Linked DNA regions of Drosophila melanogaster. The protein of the gene in region 3 interacts with the protein of the main gene of each other region in a pairwise test. Each region holds a gene or a part of one and is shown on either strand. Other genes may lie near its edges.

Evidence for each region.
Region 1: the proteins of CG11672 (region 3) and ND-MLRQ interact in a two-hybrid assay, tested with the Drosophila melanogaster proteins (one large-scale study listed by BioGRID).
Region 2: the proteins of CG11672 (region 3) and Gdap2 interact in a two-hybrid assay, tested with the Drosophila melanogaster proteins (one large-scale study listed by BioGRID).

What each region holds. Positions count from the first base shown.
Region 1 is NT_037436.4:23,335,476-23,345,367, reverse strand, and holds the start of ND-MLRQ (NADH dehydrogenase (ubiquinone) MLRQ subunit), read right to left. Parts: upstream 6,043-9,892; 5' UTR 5,934-6,042; coding exon 5,892-5,933; intron 5,835-5,891; coding exon 5,688-5,834; intron 3,912-5,687; coding exon 3,849-3,911; 3' UTR 3,766-3,848; intron 1-3,765. Other genes in the region: alpha-Cat (alpha catenin), read left to right, coding at 7,322-7,493.
Region 2 is NT_033778.4:7,732,581-7,739,369, forward strand, and holds the start of Gdap2 (Gdap2), read right to left. Parts: upstream 3,043-6,789; 5' UTR 2,797-3,042; exon of another isoform or gene 2,574-2,796; intron 1-2,573.
Region 3 is NT_033777.3:8,286,752-8,293,822, forward strand, and holds CG11672 (uncharacterized protein), read right to left. Parts: upstream 3,828-7,071; 5' UTR 3,798-3,827; coding exon 3,747-3,797; intron 3,685-3,746; coding exon 3,013-3,684; 3' UTR 2,644-3,012; downstream 1-2,643. Other genes in the region: nazo, read left to right, coding at 1,288-1,489, 1,547-1,767; CG31464 (uncharacterized protein), read left to right, coding at 4,501-4,548, 4,603-5,253; CG31463 (uncharacterized protein), read left to right, coding at 5,615-6,766.

The sequences.
Region 1 (9,892 bases), on a different chromosome or scaffold from region 3:
GGATATTTTTTCATAATTTAATTAGTCGCTTAAATTTCTATCGATTTGCCAAAAAACTTTTTGCCACGCCCACTACAACGTCCTAACTTTTGAACCATTTTAAAATTTTATTCCCCAATATCTATCCATACCCCAGAAACATGATAAAATTTCGCATTCGCATTCACACTAACTGAGTAACGGGTATCTGACAGCCGGGGAACTCCACTATAGCATTCTCTCTTGTTTTTGCTCTGTTCTATCCTCCACTCTCTCCTTCGGACTTATTCGCGTTTCCCCCGGTTTGATGACGAACGGCGGCTCCGGGCGGTACTCATTAATAATAAGTAAATTGTTTGGTACACCAACACTCCGACGGGTCGTGCCGAAGTGGGTGTCGCTGCCGAGTATGAGGGGACGCACATCACACCATGCTGCATCTCCATCGTCGGAAGGGGCGACGTCAGTCCACTAGCGCGAACGGAAACCAAGAGACACCAGAGCCGAGTACCAGCGTCGACTTTCGGCAGTGCTCTCTCACACAGCGACGGATATCTTGCCCACCGTCAACATATGGTTCGACATCGGGGCTAATGGCCCTCTGCCCGCTTGCTTACGCTGAGAGTGTAAGAAGTCTAAAAATAGAATTTGCTTGCTTGTGTGAGAGAGACGAGAACGCGTATGTGTGCATGTTGTGATTCTGATCGAAGAAACGAATTTACATATTTGGGGAGTTTTGGCCAATTTCGGAGCAATATGATGAAATTGCGGGCTGTTTAAAAATATCAAATTGGAATATAAAAAAAAAAAAATGAATATGAAAAACAACTGAATCTAATGTGCATTTTAAATAACAAATTTGGATCATTTTTAAAATGAATTTTCCAAAAAGAAGACAATAAATTGAGAAATAAATATTTCATAAAAATAATACGTACTAGAAAATAAAAATTTATAAAATAAATAAAAATATGAAAACTGTTTAATTCAAAACAAGAATTTTTCGCATGGTGCCAATTTCTCAAAAATAATATAGATTTAAAGTCCAAGAACTTCTAAGGTGAAGGGCATATTTTGTCAAATTTACAATGCATGAACATATGTGTGCACACATACAGTTGTCTGCTATCACTGTATGGGTAGAAAAGAGCTGATCGTTGTAGCGCTCTCCGCTCTCGCGCTCTCGAACAAAATTCGAGAGAGCCTGAAGCCACCTCTAGAGCCATGGCGAAAAAATCGTGTGCCAAAAAATCGTATGGCGTTACGCATCATGTTATTCTAGTGTCTTTGGTTGTTGGGTGCTCCGAAGACGGATTATTAGACGATGCCATGGGTCTCCATATCCTGGGAGTTGGCGATGAGAGGGTATGCAAAGGAGACTCTCACCCCGATTCATACGGAGACCCCACGGATAGAGGTGGTGTTTCGCGTCGAGGAGCAGCTTTGGATGCGGATCGAGAGCTGCCTGACTGCTGACTCCTCTAGTACGGTGTTCACCAATATCATATTGCCAAGTTGTGCTATGTCCGGATGTGTCCCCAGAATTGATCCAACCAGGTGTCATGCCAAGCCAAAACGGGTGCCATGTAGCACAGAGCGCAGTGCTATGATGGATGCTTTCCGGCGCCTATAACCACTGCCGCTGCTCGAATCCCTTTGCAATCTAGGACATTACAAGGCGAGCGTGATATTTACGCCCATTTCGTGTGCCAGTTCCTGGCGTTCCTAAAAGAAAGAAGGAATCCACCCGCTCCCTTTTCCAACGGGAGTTTCATTTCTTTCATTTAGGAACCGTTGGCCACACAACCGTACTTAACTACATGACTTCTTTTTTTACTTTATTGGTATACATGAATATTAGCTGAAATAAAGAAAAACTATTCTCCCCTGAACTCCTTTGAGAACTCAGTATTTTTCTACAGACATCTACACTGGCAGCCATTTGGACCCACCAATTTGCATAAATGGAACGCGGCAAACAAAAACATTGCCCCTGGAGATATGGCCACCATCATGTATTCGAATACACCCCCCGGCACTTCATCCGGAAGCATCATTCGTATTTAGTATTTCTTTCTTATCACCTGTTCGGACGGTATATGTGAGCGTTCGAAGGCTGGTCTCTCGTTTTTGTAAAACAGAACATTTCGACCAGTAAAAATTAATTACAAGTTACCTATCGTGATCAATTCACCACCACCCACATTTTATATTTTGTCTTATTTTTATTTGTTTTGTAAATGTCTATAGATTGCCAAAAAACTTTTTTCCGTGCCCACTCTAACGCCCACAAGCTTCCCAAAACTGCCACGCCCACACTTTTGAAAAGTTTTCGAATTTGTTTTTTGTGTGTTTGGATTTGTTTTCTGTTTATTATTTGCCTTGCCAATTTCTATAGGTATACCAACAACACATCGGCCACGCCCCTTCTTCCTTTCACATACAAAACGCCCAAAACAGTCAAGCAGACACTATTAACCTATTTTTAAATTTTTTCTTATTTTGTTCCCCAATATCAATCGATAAAATAAAATATCATGTTAGCATTTCCACTAGCTGATTAACAGGTGATAGACGGAAACTCGAATATAGCATTCTCCCTTGTTTTTAAATTCTCCAATATCTATCGACATGCCAGAAAAATTATGAAATATCTCCTTCGCATTTTCACAAGCTAAGTAACAGGATCACCTCCCTGTGCATGCATGCGAGTTGGCTCTGCCGGGGTAGGCATCGCCTAGAGTCCGGCATAATCATAGTTTCGTCTCATAATCTATGCCTTTCCTAATATATACAGGTGCCTTAAATTCACTGCTCGTTATCAGATTAGCTCGTTATTAGATTAACATGGCTCCGTTTCTCCTTATGTTCTGTATTTGGCCATTGCACGAAAATCTATCAATGTTATTGTTTTTTGTTCACTGATATTCCCTCTCTCTTTGAGGATAAAAAAGAGGTCCTGAGAAGAACCGTTATCTTTTTAATTCTGCTCTGTTTTACTTTCGGCGAAAAATTGGGCACCTATATTGCATCGCCCCAACTGCAGTTTTGAATATCTTCCATAACTTGAAAGGTGGGACAACAAAATTTTTTATGCTGTTCAATTGAAAAGTTTGGTTTAATTTTGCGAAAAAAATTGGAAGAGGAACGCTGTTATCCTTGCCGGAAAAATCCGATATCATAGCTTTCTATGAACGCGGGCTGTCTTTTCATAAAATTGCAGAAAAACCGCAGACATCGCAAAACTGTAACAAATTTGATTAAAAACAACTAAACTTAAGGAAAAAACTATAAAGGCGGCAATAACATTGTCTTTAACGCGGCAGATCCCTGGTCCATACGTCAAAGACCTTGCAACTCCCACTACTCTTACGGCCAAATTCGAGAAAAAAGTGGTGAAAACCCGAGCAAATCGCTGATTCAAAGGGTGATTAAGAAAAATAAACATTCCTTTAAGAATATTCTAATTTAATTATAACTAACTATCCTGATGACGCAATTTGGTTTACCCATTTATGGATTGTGCTTCTTTTTTATTTAAATCAAAATCTATAAACAAACTGCATCCCATATTAACTTTTTATTTATAGAATTAATTGTACAACTTTTAAGGGAAAAAAAGGGAAACAAATTTCCAAAGGTCTAAACAGTTTTCTAAATATATCACATCAAAAATTTTTGCTCAAGGGGTGCTAGCCTGGTGACGCGCAGTGTATTATGAAAAAAGGGCACTACATTTCTAAATTATTTTATCTTATATAAATATAAAGATCTATAAGAACATACGCTTTCAAATCCACTATGTTTATTTATAATTTGAAGTTATTTCATTTTACATTTTTAAATTGCAGCTGCTAGGGAAACGTAATTTATTCATCAAAGTTTGGGGCAGCACTCTTAGTTTTGGAATAATCCCTCACAGGCGAATAAAACTGAAAAAAAATGCAAGATTCAATATATTATATATTATATTATATTATATTATATTATATTATTATATTATATTATATTATATTATATTATTATATTATATTATATTATTATATTATATTATTATATTATATTATAATATTATATATTTCATCTAAAAAACACGAATTACAGTAAACCTATAAGTCCACCAGCAATTAAGAGATTTAAATATTTTTAGATTTTAGTAAACTGACACTGAACGATCGCAATCAGTTTTACATTACTTACGCAAACAATTGTTTACCTAGCAAAAGAAATTTGAAAGGCAAAAACAAAAAAAAATTAAAACATTATTAAGTAACAGTGAGTGTTTGCGGGGCTTGTGGGTAATATAATGGAACTTATGTACCTTCACTGCGTAGTTGACCCTTAAATACACATGCTTAGTCTCAACTTTCTAGCTTCAATAGTTCCCTGGAGGTTTACGAGGTTCATCTCGGTTCAAGAATATGTATAATTTTTAAGGTCAGGAAGGCATCCATTAACTGGTTGCATGCATTTTAAAGAATCTACTATTCTAGTGAAGTGATAGAATTTGATAGAAATTTATCTGAAGCGAACGTTTTAGACCCTGTGTAAATCTCTGGCGATCCCTACATTTCTGGTTAGTCACTGTCGACAAAATAAATGATAAGTTCTCCCGCATTGCGTCCGAATTGCTATAAAATATTAAATGTTAGAACATTTTTGTGATCTTTATTTTTTTTTCATAGTTTTAAATAACTAGATTATTATAAAATTGATAAAATTAAAGGGTTTGATTGGCGTTTAAGTCGCAATCACTACATATTGAAGCATATCCCTCTTCCTTTTTATTTAAGGGTTGAATTATTCCTTAATACGCACTAATGACACCCCATCATTTCTTAATTTCACTTATTTTACCTATTTACCTAAATTACCCATATATATATATATATATACATTTTTTCTGCCATAAAGAATGGTGAGTATGGTGTTTTAATAATTTGTTATTAGCTAGTTGATATACGCAAATATCTCCGTTTAGAGATTGTTAACAGGCGGTGTTTACGGTTATTGGGAATTGTTTTGCGAGACAAATAATAAAAGTGAAAAAAAGTATCACTGTACAAAATAGTCGACTTCCTCGACTATCAGATACCCGTTATTCAGCTAGTTAAAATGCCATAGCGAAATTTCATGATTTGTCTGGGATATCGATAGATATTGGTGAATAAAATTTTTGGGAAATCAATCAAAATTTAAAAAACTAATAAAAATGTGAAAAAATGTGGCAGTTTTTGAAGATTTGTGGGCGTGGCAACATAGGCCAACAAACTTGCGCTGCGGGTATTTCTCTAGAATCTGTATGCTTAATCTCAACCTTCTAGATTGTATAGTTCCTGAGATCTCGACATTCATACAGACGGACGGACAGCGTCAGATCGACTCGGATATTGATCCTGATCGAGAATATATAGGCTTCATATGGTGAAAACTCTGCCTTCTACCTATTACATACTTTTCAATGAATCTAGTATAACATCTTACTCTACGAGTAACGGGTATAACTACAACTACAACATAGTATATATTCGTGAAATATATATGTGTAATGGTTATGGCATGTCGGTTAAATCGCCAAAAAAGTAAAAAATTGCAAAAATACATATATCTATAAGCAAATTTGGTTATTAACAAAACCACGGTCGAGGGCTTTTCTTGGCCCATTAAAATATGAAAATAGAATATGAATATTAAGGAGCAAATCTAACCTTGTATTGCTTTTCTTTGTACTCTTGCCATGGTTCGGGATTTGATGTGCGATTCCAAGTGACATCGGGATTACGAGTAGCAAGTCGAGCCATATAGTAGACGGCTCCAATAGCTCCCGCTCCAACGCACACATAAAGTGGAATTAACTGAACAAATTTTTGTTATGCAATCAACAGATAACTTAATATAATCATAAAACTTACAGCTGGATTTTTTTTAAGACTTTGCAGACCAAGACCTTGCATTTTGTCTACGTTATAATTAAAATGTATTTAATATGTAAGAAAGAAACACATTTATAAAAAATTACCTAACTTTACTCAATCCAATAAAACAGAATGGAACTATATATTAGATATGGACATATTTCGATGCCAACAGCGATGTCATCGATGTTTTCCAAACATCGGCAACTCGATGTTGACTCAAACATAAAAATATATGTATTCATAACAGGCAGATGTCATATTATTTTATATGTGACATGCCAGTATTAAGCGATGCTGGTATAGAATGGGAACTCAAAAATCATGCACATAAATATTTTTTTTTACATCTAAGGAATATATTATTTTATATACGTAATTTTTATGCATGCTTGTCGCACAGGTTTTATGTTAGGCTGTCATAATAATTTCAAGCCGCCGGGAACGATATAATCTTCTGAAGTAGTCATGCATTTTTGTTACATTTTGTTTATATGTCGAAAGGATTTTTTTTCAATAATAACAAGAAAAAATGCTATGTAGACTTTCCCGACTATTAAATATCCGTTACTCAGCTAGAGGCAATATGATCGCGAAATATCATAATTTTTCTGGGACACGGATAGAAATTGGTGAATGCAATGAGAAAATATTTAAAATTGTTCAAAAATGTGGGCGTGGTCGTTTTTTGGTCGGTTTGTATCGTTAGAGTGGGCGTGGCAAAAAGTTTTATGACAAATCAATAGAAATTTACAAAACTAATAAATATATGAAAATATATATCAACACAATTTTCAAAAGTGTGGGCGTGGCAGCGTTAGGCGTTAGGTTAATATCATATGGTTAATCTAAGCTTTATAGCTTATATTGTTCCTGAGATCTCGACGTTCATACGGACGGACAGACGGACACGACCAGATCGTGTCGACTACTGATCCCGATCAATTGTTCCAATGCTTCCATCAGCCTATTAGGAACTTTTAAACGATTCTGGTATACCCTATTACTCTACAAGTAACCGGTATAATAATAAACATAGAAAACAACAATCCTGATATGTGTGGAATATGTTAATTCATTAAATGAAATATTTTTGTTGGTAAAAATTAAAAATATTATTAAACTTTTCTCAATCGTCTTCAATACTTGAATATCACATATTTTTCACGAGAGTTCAATCATCAAAAATCAATTTTAATTATTTTCTTAAAGTCATTACTAAAGAATGACTCACAGGACTCAAAACTACAAAACTATTTAACTTATTCATTATATATTGGTTACGTTACGTAGGTCATGTGGCTCAGTGGGACTATGATATATTTAAAGCCCGCATTCTTTACAGCACTGCAAAGTTACAATCCTGGTACTATTAATAATCAGTGGACTACATATTATCGAAAAAGGCGTCGTCGGTTAAAGAATTTATGTTAAAACCTGATAAAATGGGCACGTTAACCGATTTCGGACAGATAGCTTTGAAATGGGATCCCAAAAATTTGGAAATTCGCACAATGTCAGTTGAAAAAACACTTGAACCCCTTGTATTACAAGTAACTACTCTTGTAAATACCAAGGGCCCAAGCAAAAAGAAAAAAGGTAAAATGTTTATAGCTTATAGTGCCTAGAAAACCTAAATATTAGAACTTTCAATTTTAAAGAAACTTTTTGCGAGTCGTGAATAACTGTGCGTATACTCATTTTAATTTTATTAATTATAAGTATTGTGTACATACGAGAAATGATAGAAAATGTTCTAAAACGGCTGTGTATACTATACATACATATTGTGACATCTTAAATTTTGTAGGATAGAAAGCATTTGAATTCATGTAACAAGCTTAAAACTGAAAAGGAATGTGAAAGCATCTTTTACCTCTTTAAACGCAAAATTGCGAAAATATAAAAAAATAGCCTATTAGTGATTTACATATATTTTGATTGTGTTTCATTTTGTTATATGTATATCTTTCCAATTTCTATCGATATGCAATAAAAATGTTCAAATTTATAGTTCGCTTGGCCACTAGCTGAGTAACAGGTATCTGATAGTCAAGGAAATTTACTATGGGGTTCGCTGTAATATATATTTGTTACTCGTAAAGTAAAATGGGGTACTAGATTCGTTGAAAACTAAGTATGAGGTAGAAGAAAGCGGTTCCAAAAAAAAAATATATATTCTAGATCAGGATCAATAGCCGAGTTGATCTGGCCATGTCCGACTTTCTGTCCGTATGACAAAGCGTTTTCATATGAATTCATATTTTCATTAGTCTTTTAAATTTCTATCGATTTACCTTTTTTTTTTATTAGAGTTTATCATTTATTATTAGTCATACGTCAATAGGAATCGTTCAGTTCCTTCTGAACTTAACCTAATGTGTAGCTTAAGAGATATGGATTCCGTTCCTTAATTAAAGTGTATACAAATGTACCGTGGAGAGAATCGATTTATCAAAAAACGTTTTGCAACGCCCACTCTAACGCCCAAAAATTGGTTTTCACACAAAAATGTTTTGGTATTTTTCATACTATTTTATTGATCTTGTAAATCTATTGATATGCCAAAATACCTATTGTCAGGCCCACAAACCGCCCAAACTTTTTGAAAAATATATTTCTTGTTTAAATATAATTATTTCTTTTTCAATTTTTACCGATTTTCCAAAAAAATTGAAATCTTTCACACTTCTAGTTGAGTAACGGGGTATCTGATAGTCGGGGACTCGGTTATAGCATCCATTCCAGTTTTTGTTTTAAGTCATGTCAATTCTTTTTGCAAAACCATTTTGGTCAGGAGAACTATATACAGAACTATCACAGGATGTAAACAGCTGTCAGGCCCTTAAAATACAATAAATTGTTACTTCATATTATTTAATTACTGTTTTTATACCCGTTACTCGTAGAGTAAAAGGCAGAAGGAAGCGTTCCCGACCATTAAAAGTAAATATTTTTTGGGCTGGCTCCAGCTCTCTTGAATTTTTGTTCAAGAGCCAGATTTCGGAGAGCTCTTCAGCCAGCAACTTCATTTTACGCATACAGTGACAGCCGAAAACTTTTTGTGTGTACACGAATACTCATGCATTGTAAATTTGACAAAATATGCCCTACACTTCAGAAGTTTTTGGAATTTAAATCTATATTATTTTTGGTCAATTGGCATTATTTTAAAAATAATTTTTTCCTATTCGTATTATTTTTATGAAATATATTTTTTTAAATGTATTAAACTGTATGTGTTAAACTACAAAAGTAATAATAACTATTCCATATCGCAACTTTTTTTCATTTATAAGTTTAAATATTGATGAACCTAATATTAATGCTGTAAAAAAAAACTTCTCCCAGTCCCCTGTTGAAAACTCCAAACATGTTAATTCGTTTCTTAGATCAAAATTGATTTCGGCCCGAAAATCGTCTTCTAGCACAAGTACGCACACATATACACTTTCACGTTTAAACGTTACTCACACAAGCAACCAAAGTCTATTATTTTACGCTCTCAATATTATTCGAGAGAAAAGAGCACAATCTTGGCCGTCACCAAACAAGTAGCTGCTTAGTGAAAAACCAATGTATGGCCCTTACGCATCTTGTTATTCTAGTGTCTTTGATCTGACCCTGTCCGCCCTTCTGTCTGTCCGTTCGTATGAACCTCGAGTTCTCAGGAACTATAAAAGGTTGAGATTAAGACATTTACGCAGCTCAAGTTTGTTGACCCATGTTGGCACACCTATTCTACCGCCCAGAGCTGCTACGCCTGACCTTTGGAAAAATGTGAAGTTTTTTCATATTTTTATTAGTCGTGGAAATTTCTATAGACTTGCCAAAACTGTATGGTAAAAGAGTATACCAGATTCGTTAAATTCCGACTATATAAAGTATATATATTCTTGATCAGGATCAATAGCCGAGTCGATCTAGCCATGTCCGTATGAACGTCGACACATTAGCTAGAAGGTAAAGCCGCCCTAAAACCGCCCAAAACTGACACG
Region 2 (6,789 bases), on a different chromosome or scaffold from region 3:
GACAGTTTAAGATCAATAGACGGTAAAATCCACATTATACAACTTGTTTACTATCGAAAGGCAGGATGTTTGGCAACCAGCGCAATATAATCCCTCCTATATATGCAAGGTAACATGTGACATTGTTATTGATTGAATAGCACATACGAACTATATATTGCGTTAGATAAAAGCAATTAAATAGAATGGTTATACCTTTAAGCATACATATGCAATATACTCAGTAAAAGAATTCAGCTCAATGGTTGGCTCTCCAGGGTACTTTTCAGTCGGACACCGAACGAGTCTAGAATAAATGCGATTCCCCCATCGCCAGCCGTTCCAATTTGGGCCAGCAAATGCTCGTAGCAACTTTGTTTACGCTACACGCTCAATCCGCCAAACTGTTGCATAATAAATGCGAAATTGTCGCCCACATGCCAAGGCCTTTGCCGAGCCAGGCTGCTTCCAAAAAAAAAAAAAAAAAACAAGTCAGAAACAGCCGAAAATACATACAAAATACTTGGCTTCAGTTGCCATAAAAACTACAGAAGGAGCTCAGGAGCCCTCCTGCTACCGTAGCAGGATTGGCATTACATCGCCGGAGTGGGCAAACGAATCCAACTGGGCTGCGCTTGGCACGGACCGAAACCGAGCATTCAGATGCCATGCATTAAGTATACGCCGTGTGTGCGCCAGTCCGTGCGAGCTGCACGAGGTTGTTGGCATTGTCCTTTGCCTTCTGATCTCTGGCCCGGATTCCGAATTCCAATCCCAGAGCTAACAAACAGTGCCAGGCGGAAAGCGGTCCGATTTGTGTATCTTCCAGTCAGCGTCGCCCAAATATTTGCTGTTTATATTCATGTCGGATGCGTCATAGGCGTCAAGGCCTAACCTCCAGCTACTACAGCTATAGCTTCCCAATCATTGGCTATTAGTCGGCGCAACTGTGGGCCTAGTTTCACCTGACGTCAGCGGGATTAATTTCCCGTTGGCCATTGTTGAGCGCAAATTGCAGCAATTTTCCCGGCATTATCTTCGACTAAATTGTGTCGAATTGTCGCACAGTCCTCGAATAATAATTATAATCTGCAGCAGTCAGCTCGTTCTTCTTCCGACGAAACAGCAGAGCAGAGAATGCATTTATATAATGGCCGGTTTGCTGAAGCATTAAGTGAATGGCCAAATGCCCTGACAATGGTCTCATTCAGCGATTGTTGTTCTTGTCGTGCCTGGCCAACTCCAATGACCCCAATAAGCTGGCCAACTGCCCGAACAATAACTCCAGTTTGTGGGGCGGCTTGGGGTTTGGGGGAAATTACATTTCTATTAGGGAAATTCCACACACACAACTGTGTGCTTATGTGTGCACACACATTTGTGCGGCGGCAAATGCTAAAACGCTTATTAATAATTGTCAGTTTCTGTTAAGCGGACACGCACAGTGGGGCAAAGTATGTAAATTTTTGTTAGTCTAGTATATGGTAAAAACTAAAAGATCTATCATAATGGATTCGACTATCATGTTTAAGTTCTACAACATAATGCTCTGCAGTATTGCATCATTTGGTTAACTAAGTTGTTAGATAATATCATTTTAGTGCTTTTAAAGCAAAAACCCCAATAGCTGGCCGTTAATATTTAACAGCCTATTTGCAATTTAAGGACCAACTTTGCCTAGTTTGTGGGATTTGGACTAAACTAGCGAGCGATTATATGGCCCATGGCCATTTCAATATCGCCTGATAATTGGGCTGTGCTGGCAATTAACTGTGACCCCCACGAATCCCCAGTGGGCCATGCAGCTGGCTTCGATGATGACTTGAGTGGCTGACAGGCGGGAAAGCCGTCGAAACTGCAGTCATATATGTATATTTGAAATTCAGCGCACGAAAATCCAGGGAGGAGGAAAAGCCAGTTTTTAGGCTCCGGTCAAATGCTGCTCCGGCACTCGCTTAGTTATGTATTTTCGCATAAATTTCTAATGCATTCGCAGCCGATGTTGCAGCACGTTTGTACAAAGTGGTGCGGGAGGCAGCGGGTGGGAAAATTGTTTGGGAAATGCTCGGAAAATGGGGGGCGTTCGTTGGGGTGGCACGAGGTAAGTGTTCTTGGTGAATAAACCTGTCACTGAATGAACTTAACGTAGCTCGCTACTAAACCGAAATCATAAATAATTAGTGGCATGGCCGAGAAGTGGAAGTTGCACAAGCTCGGCTCCTGAAGGTTATTTCACTTTTTTTTTTTTTTTTGTTTCTTATTTTGTGAGTGTGTGCGCGTGTCTCTTCGTAATTGCCTCTGTATTTGTGTTTATATTCACCCTCTCCTTACAAAAGAACGCTTTTTCACCAGCCACAGAAACAAAATCAAAATGCTGTTTATTGTATAATCGAGACCTTGTTTTTGCCTGCTTCGTTTTTTTCTTTTCTATTCGTTACTTCACTGACTATTATTTCTCTCGTTTTGGAAAATGCACACACAACTTTTTCGAAACGAAAACACTAAAAGACAACACACTCACACACAAACACACACACAGGCGGATGCGTGGGCAAACATACACAGATACACACACATAGAGATACTCCGTTTACCGTTAAGCGGGCGAGGGGCGGTGGGTGGTAGGCGGAGTGGTGTGGAGTGAGATAAAGGAAAACGCGGTAGTTGGTCGACGGTGGTAGGCGCGGCGGTTATTCAGGTAACTCTCTGCGAGAGTGTGTGCGTGTGGCGGTGTGTTCGTGTGAGTGTGTGCTTGCCTGGCTGCGCCTGTATGCGTGTGTGTATATTTGCAATCCAAAGTTTACGGGCTTTACGCACTCGGTTCGTCGATCAATGAATCAAACTCCAACTCCGGGTAGCAGCTTTAATCACTTCTCTTGCACGTTTCGCTCAGTGTTCTTCGCGTTCGATTTCAGCTCCTCGGGTTAGTGTGTGTGTGTGTGTTGGTGTGCCGTGTTCGTGTGTGTGTTTTCGGTGTGTTGCAAGCTTCAGTTTCTCGGCTCAAATCACTTCTTCTTCTCTTTCTCGGCCACCGCTCGTCTGAAATCCGCGTTCGACACTGAAGTTAGCGAAAGCTTTCGGCCCAGCTTTAAACTTTCGACTGCTCAGAGCAGTGGGACCAAATAGAATTAACTCGATGGAGCTATTTAAGCCTGCAATATTTTTAAGTAACAGCAAGTCCAACAAAAATAAAAAAATATTCAAAAAATGTATTCCAAATTAAAATGTTTTGTTATGCGCCAAACTTTTTACTGTTAAACTTTTTAAAGCTATTCCGCGAATCTAATCCTCCTGGAAAGTGGGTAAATAGAACAAAAGTCAAATTAAAAAGCTAAACATAGCTTATAAATTAAAAAAAATTAACTCTTATAATCTATTTATTTTTAATTATACTCTTACACAAATTATGGTATATGTCAATAAAGACCCAAAAAAACAGTAAGCTAATTTTACATAGTATCGATATGTATAATAAATGTAGATACGGCGCTTTGATAGACACATACAAAAGCTAGCTACTATAAAGCTCAAAGCTTTTCGAAACTTTCTCCGAATTCGATGGCGCGAATACTTAATTTTTGATAACTTCAGTGCGTATACTTAATAGCATTAAGTCGTATACTTGATTTTTAATGCCCAATAAATTAGTTCTTTATTAATGTGTGTTTTTGAGACATCATTGCTTCATCTTGATGCCAGCAATTCGAATAGCAAAATATGCTAAATACCTTTTGCTAGACATTCTTATTATTTAGCTAGGCAAGTGCTCTTTAAGCCATTGGCTCATCTGCTCATGGACGTGTTGTCTATTTTCGACTCGCTTAGTATCTTCTCAGGCACGCGAAAAACTCTTCGGGCCATTAACAAGTTAATCAAAATGCATAAATCACCAATATACAGAAGATTCCGACAACAAAGTCGCTGCCGCATGGCTATCCATTCACCTGCGGCCAATGTATATTTGTCATATTTCCAACTTATCAACAACTTCATGGACCCGCTCCGGGTCATATAGCATGGACGCTAGAGACGACGCTACACGAGTGCAATTGGTAGAAAACTTATACAATTACCCGAAAAACACATGCGAATTAAATTGTACAAAAAGTGAAACCAGCTGAAGAAGCGAAAGCCAGCCGGCTGCAGATGAAAATGAAGATGAAGTTGTCGAGGTTGAGGCTGTCTTAAGACGGAGTCCCAACTCCGTCCCGTTCCGTCCCGTTCCGTCGGCCAAGATGCATTTCGGCGGATCCCCAGCTCCGCTTGCTCATAATCGGCAGATGTTAGCCATAAAATTGGAAAGGAGGAAACAAACAGTTGACCATTTTATTCCATTCCAATGGCCAACTGGTTATGGCCATGGATGGCGAATCTGCCAACGAACTTCTCGAACTAGGAGCACCCATGTCCCATGTTCCATGTCCGAAGCCCAAAAGTGATAAATGCGCAAAACGGATTTATATTTTTGTTTTTTGTATATTTTTTTGTATTTTTCGTCGGTTTTATACTTTTTAGGTATTTTTGTTTGTTTTTATTGAAATTCCTTAGATCGCAAGAAGCGCACAGAAGTAATATGTATGGTAATTGTTGTATATGGTATAGATATAGATACATTATTATTATTATCTTTTATATATATAATGTAATATGTAAGTAATATTTATATATTGTTTGTGTGTGTGTGTGTGTGTGTTTGTGTTTGTGTGTGGTGTATGTGTGTGTGTGTGGCGTCTGCTTGTGGTGGTGTATGTGTGTGTGCTGGTATAATAATTAGATATACGTAATTAAGTATATATATTATATACAAATCTCAATGGATTGTTGATTGATTTGCTTGAATTTACAATTATATCTGGTATCTGTATCTGGTATCTTTATCTTTATAGATGTATAAATTTAATATTACGCGCTAGAGATATTTCAAATGTCCTCTTCTCTACAGGCTTATCCAACTAACATACAGCTAAGTAATATATATGTGTATATATCTATATATTGTATTGTATTGTATTTTATTTTATTTTATTTTATTTTATTGTATTGTATTGTATGTAAAAACACAATCCGCCCAGCCCAGGCATTAGCTATGGGACCCAAACATGAAATAAACCTCTTCATTGCAGCTGGCAAAACCAAAGAATTCCGACAAATCAGATCAATTCAGATGATCGTCCTGCTTTTCCTGTTTAAATTCTTTTCTTTTTTTTTAATTTTTGGTTTAGATTTTGATTCAGTTAGAGTTCGGTTTCGGTTTCAGTTTCAGTATCAGGTTAACTCGTTTTAAAGTTTGCACTAAGTAAAATGTTTTGCAGATCGCAAATTGGAATACGTTGGCTTTGGACCTTGTCGAATATGCATATAGATAATCTGGATATATACACATACATACAGTATACAGTATGTACATACAGTATGTACATACATCGTACATTATGTCACAATGTTTAAACTAAAGTTAATACATAAATTCAAAACACAAGTTCAAGGTTAACATTATACAAAAGTGTGTAGTTGGTAGACAATTCTCAAAGTTATCAAAGAATGCACACGGAGAGGAAACATCGTAAGCTAATCATCATCCATCGTCATCCACATCCACATCCACTCATCTTCGACTCATTTTGCTCTGTGGACCATTTGTCTTTCATTTGTTGTGGATATAAACATATATGTGTATATATATTTATGGTTGCATATAAGTATATATTCCTTAGTTGCTTGTGGTATTTTGTTGCAATTGCAAAAACAGAGAATTACACATTAATCTAACATTCCTTGATGGTTTTCGACGAAGTGAAGTGTTTCGTTTCGAACTATTAATATTTGTTGTCTAGAGCATATCTATATCATGTCTATATCATTCATTAATTATCACCAGCTGGTTTTAACAATACACTCAATCAATCATTCACATACCTACATAACATAATATGTTGCTGTTGTCAGGACACACCGAAAATATTCTACAAAATATGACATTTCGTTCTACACATTACTTTAAAATTTATTTCGGTTTAACTTTGCTTTGTGGATTGAATTTCATTGAGCAACTTCTGGTACACCAGACACATATATATATATATATATATAAATCCTCTACACTTCCGAATCCTCGTCCACATATTAATTTGACTAATATTTACATATCATCGCTTTAAATTATCATTTCAGCCTGCAATTAGATTGTTGCTTGGAATTTCTAGACTGGAACCCAAAACGCCGCCTTCGTCTGTTGCACTTGGCATACAAAAAGGTCAATTCGAAATTAACGTGCTACATATGCATGCCGTATTTTTTCACATTTTTGTTTTTTTTTTTAGGTTTTGTGTGTGTCTGTTTGTTTATTAAAAAATACAATGATAGGTGTGCGGGGACATGTGGGTGGTTGGCAAATCCAAAATTACATTACAGCTTTGAGTGTTTGGGTAGGTTTATTACAAAAAAGATAAATGTTGGAAAAGATGAAAACGACTTTCGACCGAGCAAACAGATTAAATTTTGGCTTTAAATTATCAGGTTACTTTTTTTTGTATATTTTTTGTTTTCTTTTTTTTAGACTTTCAATAGGTTTTACAAAGTAAAATTTAGTTTTCGTAGGCAAAGAAAGTTACACAAATAACGTAAATGTTGTGCATATGGTGTAAAAGGATTTTCATATAGCCAAACTAGTGATGTGATACGCAATCGTTTTCGTCCTTTTTGTGTGTCAGTGATTTAGGTGGTGTCCCTGTTCAACATCTAACAGCGGCTGAAGTTCAGTCTGCGGTTCAAACTCTCGGGATAGTTACATTATTAAAGTAGGAGCGCGTG
Region 3 (7,071 bases):
AAAAATTTTATTTAAAATATTAAAAATGCATAGATTTCTTTAAAAATATATGTAGGATGTTTATTGTTTAGCACAATTGTTTATCTTATTAATATTTTATAGAAGTATAGTTTGCTTATTATATTAGGTATTTAATAAAAAGATGACTCGTGCCAACACTTCTTGATCTCCGGGCATACGACGACTACACAACTTTTCCTTACTCCGGACACGACAACTTTCGGCTTTAAGATCTTTTTTTAATTACACAACCTTCAACTCGCTTTGTTCTACTTCTACTTTAAGCTTGTCCTATTTTCTTACCTTTGCTACCCTTTGCGAAGATTATCGATCATCGCATATCGATAACTATTGTTACATACATATTATTTTGTTTATTAGTACATGTATTAAAATATGGTATTTTTAAAGTTTGGCCAAACGTTTATTTCTATTGATACCATTGGCTGGTAAAAAAGTCTGATAACAAGTTTGGTTCGCGTTAGAACCCATAATTCGTCAGGCAGAAAACTTGTTAAAATGGTGAATCTTGACTTAGAAATGATTTTGGAGACTCTCCTGAACGCGGCGAGGAGGAAAAGGGAAAGGGAACACCTTGAAGGTTCTTCGGAAGGTAAGTTCCGCCAACGGCATATAAACATAAACATAAACATAAACGGTCAACTTACAGAAGGCGAGTATAAAACACTAAACGATTACCTACCTATCATATCAATTGTATTTGAAATGTAGGAGTTATCTACTGGATGTATGAGAAAATTGCGGATTTGACCTTGAGGGTCCTGGCAGAATTGGTTGACTTTGTGAAGGCAGCTATTATAAAAATAGTTGGTGTCGCTACAAATGCTGTGGAGTGTTTCAAGCGTGATTTTACAGTGCAATGTGCCGCATTGGAAGCCTTTGTGGTATTTTTAACCAGTAATTTGGGATTTCAACTGGAAATGTAATTATTCATGCGGTTCAAAAAATTCCATTCCATGCCTGCTAAATCATTGGATGCACTGCCATAAGATTATGATTTCTTTATACTTGGGTTCTGATATCGGGTACTCCTAAAAAAAAGCTTTCAATCTACATATGTACATATGCGAAGCTTGATTGCAATGATAGATTAAAATTGATTTCGATGATTTGGTTTGTATCGAGTAACTCCCCTCCACAGTGGCGGATATACAATTATTGCACTACTGATAACGAAATAACAACGTGATTGTACTCAGTTGTTAGAAAGATCGTCACCGGGAAAGAAGTAAAACTTTGTAACGGAAATATACATAAATTGAAAATATGGATTCAGCCATCTCAGAGATAATCAATGCCCTGGCTATACTGGCCGACGATAAAAATATCCAGTTGACCATCAAGGAGGCCGGCAAGGGAGCTGCAATTTGTGCTGGCGCTGCGCTGATCGGAGGACTACTGCTGGGCCCCCGGGGACTGGCACTGGGCGGGGCCATCGGTGGTCTCACCGCCTACGGACTTACGGAGGGCAAGAGTGTCTAGCGTTACATGGTGACTATCATTCTTATCAGTCTTTTAATTCCAGGAAATTTCAAATCTCTAAGTGAGGTCATTTTGAACGATTTGACGGAGAGTCAGCGTCGAGAACTGGAGCAGCACGTGATCAGGGCCATATCCGAAGTTAGAAATGTACGCGTTCGAGATGTCGCAAGACTAATACTAAATAACCGGCATGTGCAAGAGGTTGCACTCGAAGCAGTCAAGTCCTATATCACTGATCGTATGGGAATGACCATCGTTGATTAGGCATTAATAGAAATATTTTTTAAACTATATTTCTCGATGATTAATGCTATAACACAGAATTTTGCCTGCAACATAAATAAATTGTTGGCGCACTGAATGATTTTATTTTAAAATCTATAGTAAAAACCATTTCAGCTTATAATTTAATAGTCAGTGACTAGCCTTTTCGATGTGCCAGATGTAAAAAGATTGTTTTGCTCAGAGCTCGGCTTTCAATAGACAAGAGTCGCGCGATCTACGTCATCAAAATCCGTCAGATGTCTGGAGGAGCTGAACAGATGTTGGAGTAGGCGGAATTTGTGCAGCTACACTACCAAGGCGATCATCAGCAGGGCAACAACTGTTACAAGCAGTAAAAATAAGATAAAATTCAGAGACTCTTAGTGAAATTGCGGCAAGAGCCGAAATAAAGAGTCGTAGAAATTTCGTTGCTGCACTGTGAACGACGAGAGAGATGTGTGATGCGATGCTTTGGTGTATCTCACGGATGCACAGATACTCGCTTCGGATATTCGCTCAGTGTGCGGTAGGCAGGTCAAAATAATTTTGCTTACTGCGGAAGCGAGAGGAAGAGGAAAAAAACTGGCTGATCTCGATCTCGATCTCCGTCTCTATCTCTTTCTAGGGCCAGCTGTCGCCCATTTGGATCGGATCCGTATGCTACTATATCTTATATCGTGTGGCTGCCACGTGTCGTGGGCAAGTCCATTGGGCAATTGGTCAGTTTAGCCGAACAATGGCCAATTAGTATGCATGCGACTTTGAAAAGTGAACTTGCGATTAGCCACAAAGTTGCCCAATATACATATGTACATATGTATATATATGCAATTACAGAGCAACCTCTCTAAGTCGAATCAAACTGAAATGAGATCTTGATACTAAGTAGTAATTTACTTCACTATTTATTGATCATTTTAAAATGTGTAAATTCCTTGGTTTAACACACGCCTCTTAGCGTTTTATAAGAACATAGTGATTTGAAATTGATTTTATTTCAATTCCAAGCCAGACTTTAAAAAGGCTTCACTGTGCCTGCAAATATGCTGATAGCTGTACCAGATCGACTGCAGCAGCTGTAAAATCAATCAAAAACTTGTCAAATAAATGTCATGCATAAGCAATAAGTGAACAGGATGTGGCGAGTCCTCGGCCCCTGTCATCTTGCGGGTGCATAAATTTGCCATTGGCTGTTTTTGCCTGGGTTCTCTCTTAGGACTATTGCTTACGGGAAGGGTCGGTCCACTATGATTGCCGGCACTGATCCTGCTCCTCGCGCAGATAGTCGCCGATGTGCTGCACCACCATGGCACTGCACAGCTGAGCCTGCACCACTTGATCCTCGGCGGTCTGGTGGGTCTGCACCAGGATTAGGGATGCATTGTGCATGGATTGGGCCATCCCCAGATTGATTTCCGCCATCGCGTTAATGAAACAGACACTTCCGCCAGCTGAAGCTAGAGGATTAAGCGGGGAAGCCCCCAGCAATTGGCACTTGGCCGGCAAGTGGGCAATCTGCTGTACGAATTCCTGTACTCTGGCCAAAGCCAGTTGACTCTCCAGACGGAAGTCTTCCAAAAGGCTTCCCAAGTCTTCCGTACACCCACCCAGCTGATGGGTCACATTTTCATTGAGCTCATCCAGGCTCCAGGCTGGGTTGCAATCGGGATTGGACACCACTAACTGGTTTGTCTCATAGATCACATCACTTAGTTCGGCCATAGCATTGGCGGTCAGGACCTCAATGTTACCGGCAATATTTTGCCGAGTGCGATTTATTTTCTCCTCCAACTGAATGGAGGTGTCGTCGCTGACACTTACGGCAATCTCTGCCAGATTGTCCACAACCATGGTAACAGGTCCATAGTTTGTAGTCTCTGTCTCCATCTTTGTTTCATAGCCGACTTCTTGGCAGTCCTGAAATAAAGGAGCATATGAATTTGAAAAGTACTATAAATGGAAAGTTACTATTAACTCACTGCCAAAGTCAGCAAAAGCAGAGCAAGTACTCCCAGAGTTTGACTCATCATCTTTCTGTTATATTTCCTAGTGCGACTGGCCCTACACTTGACTTCTTATATATGTCAAGAGATCCAGTGTCACGATAAGAGTGTGTCTCATAGCAATCACTACGAAACACAATTTGAGCATTAACTTGATGAACTGAGATGATGTTTTAGTACATGAACTTGGTATACTATTCAAAGTATTCTATTTGGTCATCGTATTTTTCGTAAATTTTCGTAATTTCTTTTTGTAAATTTCTCACCTTCGTTGAATAATGGAGGGATCAATTATACTTTTATTTGTAAAAGGGGAGATATTTACAGTTCAAGTTTGCTAAAGAAAGCTGAGGTTGATGACTAACTTGAAGCATATAGTCGTTACACAGTCATCATGCGATAAGAATCTTTCTTATAAACATTATAAGACACAAATGAGCCATTTGTCTAATTCAGAACTTAATTTAAGTTTTGTTCGGAACTTAAATACCCTAAAGTTTCATATTGATCACATATGACATGGGTATTTTTAGCAACTTACGCTGTTAAATTTTTCGGTATCCCAATATTTTCTTTATAAACAATAACAATTTTTGTTAAAGCGTTAAAACTCTTTCCCAAAAAAGAATTTAATTCTTAGTCTTAGTTAATTAAGGCAACCTTTGGCGATCTATAAATAAAAGGTATGGTATCTTCAATTTTTCGGGAATCAATTCGATTTAGTTTCAAGATGACAACAGTACGGGTGTCACTGCTTTTACTTCAGTCGCTTCTTTGTGTATGAAATAGCATTATTTGTGTAAAGTATAATATTAAAGAAAAGATCTTACAGGTGCATGGCCACTTTCAAAGAATTTGGGGACAAAATGGACCACTCTATGAGTCCACAAAGCAGCTTATAGCCAGCCAAAGCTCCAGTGCAGCCAGGATCTGGAACGTCACCCAACAGGCCCTCGATCAGAAGTTGGAGTATCTTCAAGAAGCCAAGGACACACTGGATGACCATCAGCAAGTGGTTAGTGGACGCTTGGAGATGTTTTTTGGAAGCCAGTACAGCGATGAGTGGCGGGCATGCTCAAAGAAGTACGAACTCCAGGTGGCACACTTCAATCGAGAGCTGGTGGACAAGTACAGTATCTGCAGGAATTCTCTGGACCACATCATGGATCATTTTCAGGAGGAAATCGTGCTGGAGGCTAATTTTCTGAGTAAGGCTTCGCGGGAGATCAGTGAGTTGTCAAACACCTGCAGAATCTGGCAGCTTAAGCAGTCTGGTTTCAATCACGCCGGAGTTTTATTATGCACTGTCGCTGGAATCGGGAGGATCAATCAGCGGATGATCAGCAGTCTGGAGCTGTGCGATGCAATTGTGCTGGAGATGTCCTTGGAAGACCTGGACACACCAAGTTGCCTCTTCTACCATCATCTGAAGATGGATTTCGATGACCTCTTTACGCAGATTGAGTCGTGTGCGATAAACTAGAAAGAATGTAATAAAGTCAAATGCACTATTAACTGTGGTCTGGTGTCGACTTGAAAATATTAATTACTTACATCAACTTTTACCTAATATTTATGAGCATAGTTATCTTTAATCGTTATCAGTTCGACCATTCATAAAAAGCCAAATAGAAATTTAAATTTTCTCTCGAAAAACATTGCCCCGTGGTGGTTTATATATAGCGTAATATTGGCGATAAGCCGGATAAGCCTAATCAACCTGCGCCACTTAAGAAAAACCAAGTGTGGTATCTTCGATAGTGTTTTACGAGCCATACTTCTTCCGATAATGAAGCTGGTCAAAATCCCTCCCTCAGTTGTACTGAAACAGTTGCCCGGGCAAAATGATTGGAAAAGCATTGCTTCTGCTGGGCTGTGTGCTGCTCTTCGCTTTTGGTGAAGCCAACCAGGAACTGGAGACTCTGCTGCAGAAGCAACAGGTGGACTTGCAGTTGTCTGGCGAGGAAGTGGCTGCTTTGCGTCCACTGTACCTAGAGTTTCAGGCGCAGTACAACTATCTGTACAGCCTGAGGCTCCAGAGCGGCGATGGGAGTGATCAGAATCCCGCGGAGGAGCCTGAACTGGATAGCAACTACCTACGGGCATTTGAAGACTTTCGCGAAAAGTTCTCCATTTACTTGGATGAGAAACCTCGAGTGGTGTATGACACAAAATTGCCCACTGTCGACGAGATCATGGGAAAGCCCAGTCCCGACTTCACACCAAATCAGAGGGCGGAATTCGAGGATCTCAGGGAGATTATTCAGGATGTTATTGACGAGGCACAGTTCGGCATTGACGACTTGGTGGAGAGGGCCATCCAACTGGAGACGAATCTGCTGAAGCTGAACAAACCAAAGATCGTGACCGCAGCCATTGCCGGATTGGGATACATGTGGAACTACTGGGGCCGCGGAAGTCAGGCCGCCTATTGCAGTTACTCGCTGGTCCCAGAGTTCCAGATAGGTCTGCAGGCCATTAACGATGGCGTTGATTGCTACTCCCGCACCATGGCCTTGGTAATGCGCATTCAGAATGAAACAGTGGCCGCTGTGAAGGAGGTTAAACGCAATGTCAGTAGTCTTGTGAAGATTTGCAAGAAGATTGCCGCCAAGCAGACCACCGTTGGCAAAATCCTGTCGGGTACAGTAAACGCTCTCAGTGCGATCCGCCGGCTACACGACATCATCGCTGTCGGAATCGATGTCTACGGCAAAATCAACAACCAGTTGCCGGAGGAGGCCATCCACTCTGCGGAGTGTGGAGTGGTGTTCGTCAACAGCATACCCCAAATGTTGGAAACGGCCCAGAATCTGACCACTTGCATTACCTACGTGAATCCGGATAAGCCCGACTTCGAATTCACGCATCCCGAAGAGGATCGCTATTGGAACACTGGCGCTGATCCTCCGGAAATACCCCATGAAAACGTGGTGGACGATGATGACGATGATACGGACTATCCGGAGTTGGACGACTATGAGGATCACAGATAAGCTTTGGAATTTCACCCATTGATAAGGCAAAGTTTGATAATCGGCACAATAATGTCCAAATAAGAATAAATTGATCGTTGTGATTACAATACAATTATTGAAAGATTGTGATTAAAATAGATCATGGTTTTACAAGAAGTTTTTGTTTTACGAGACTTTTAAACCACAAATTCGTTTGTGAAATCAGCAAACAATATCAATTTAAAGGTGAGTTTTACTTAACATTAAAAGTTCACCCATTATTTTCGTACCGAGGTTCTTATCTTAAAATCGGTAATCGGAAATTTATATTAATTTATTGCACC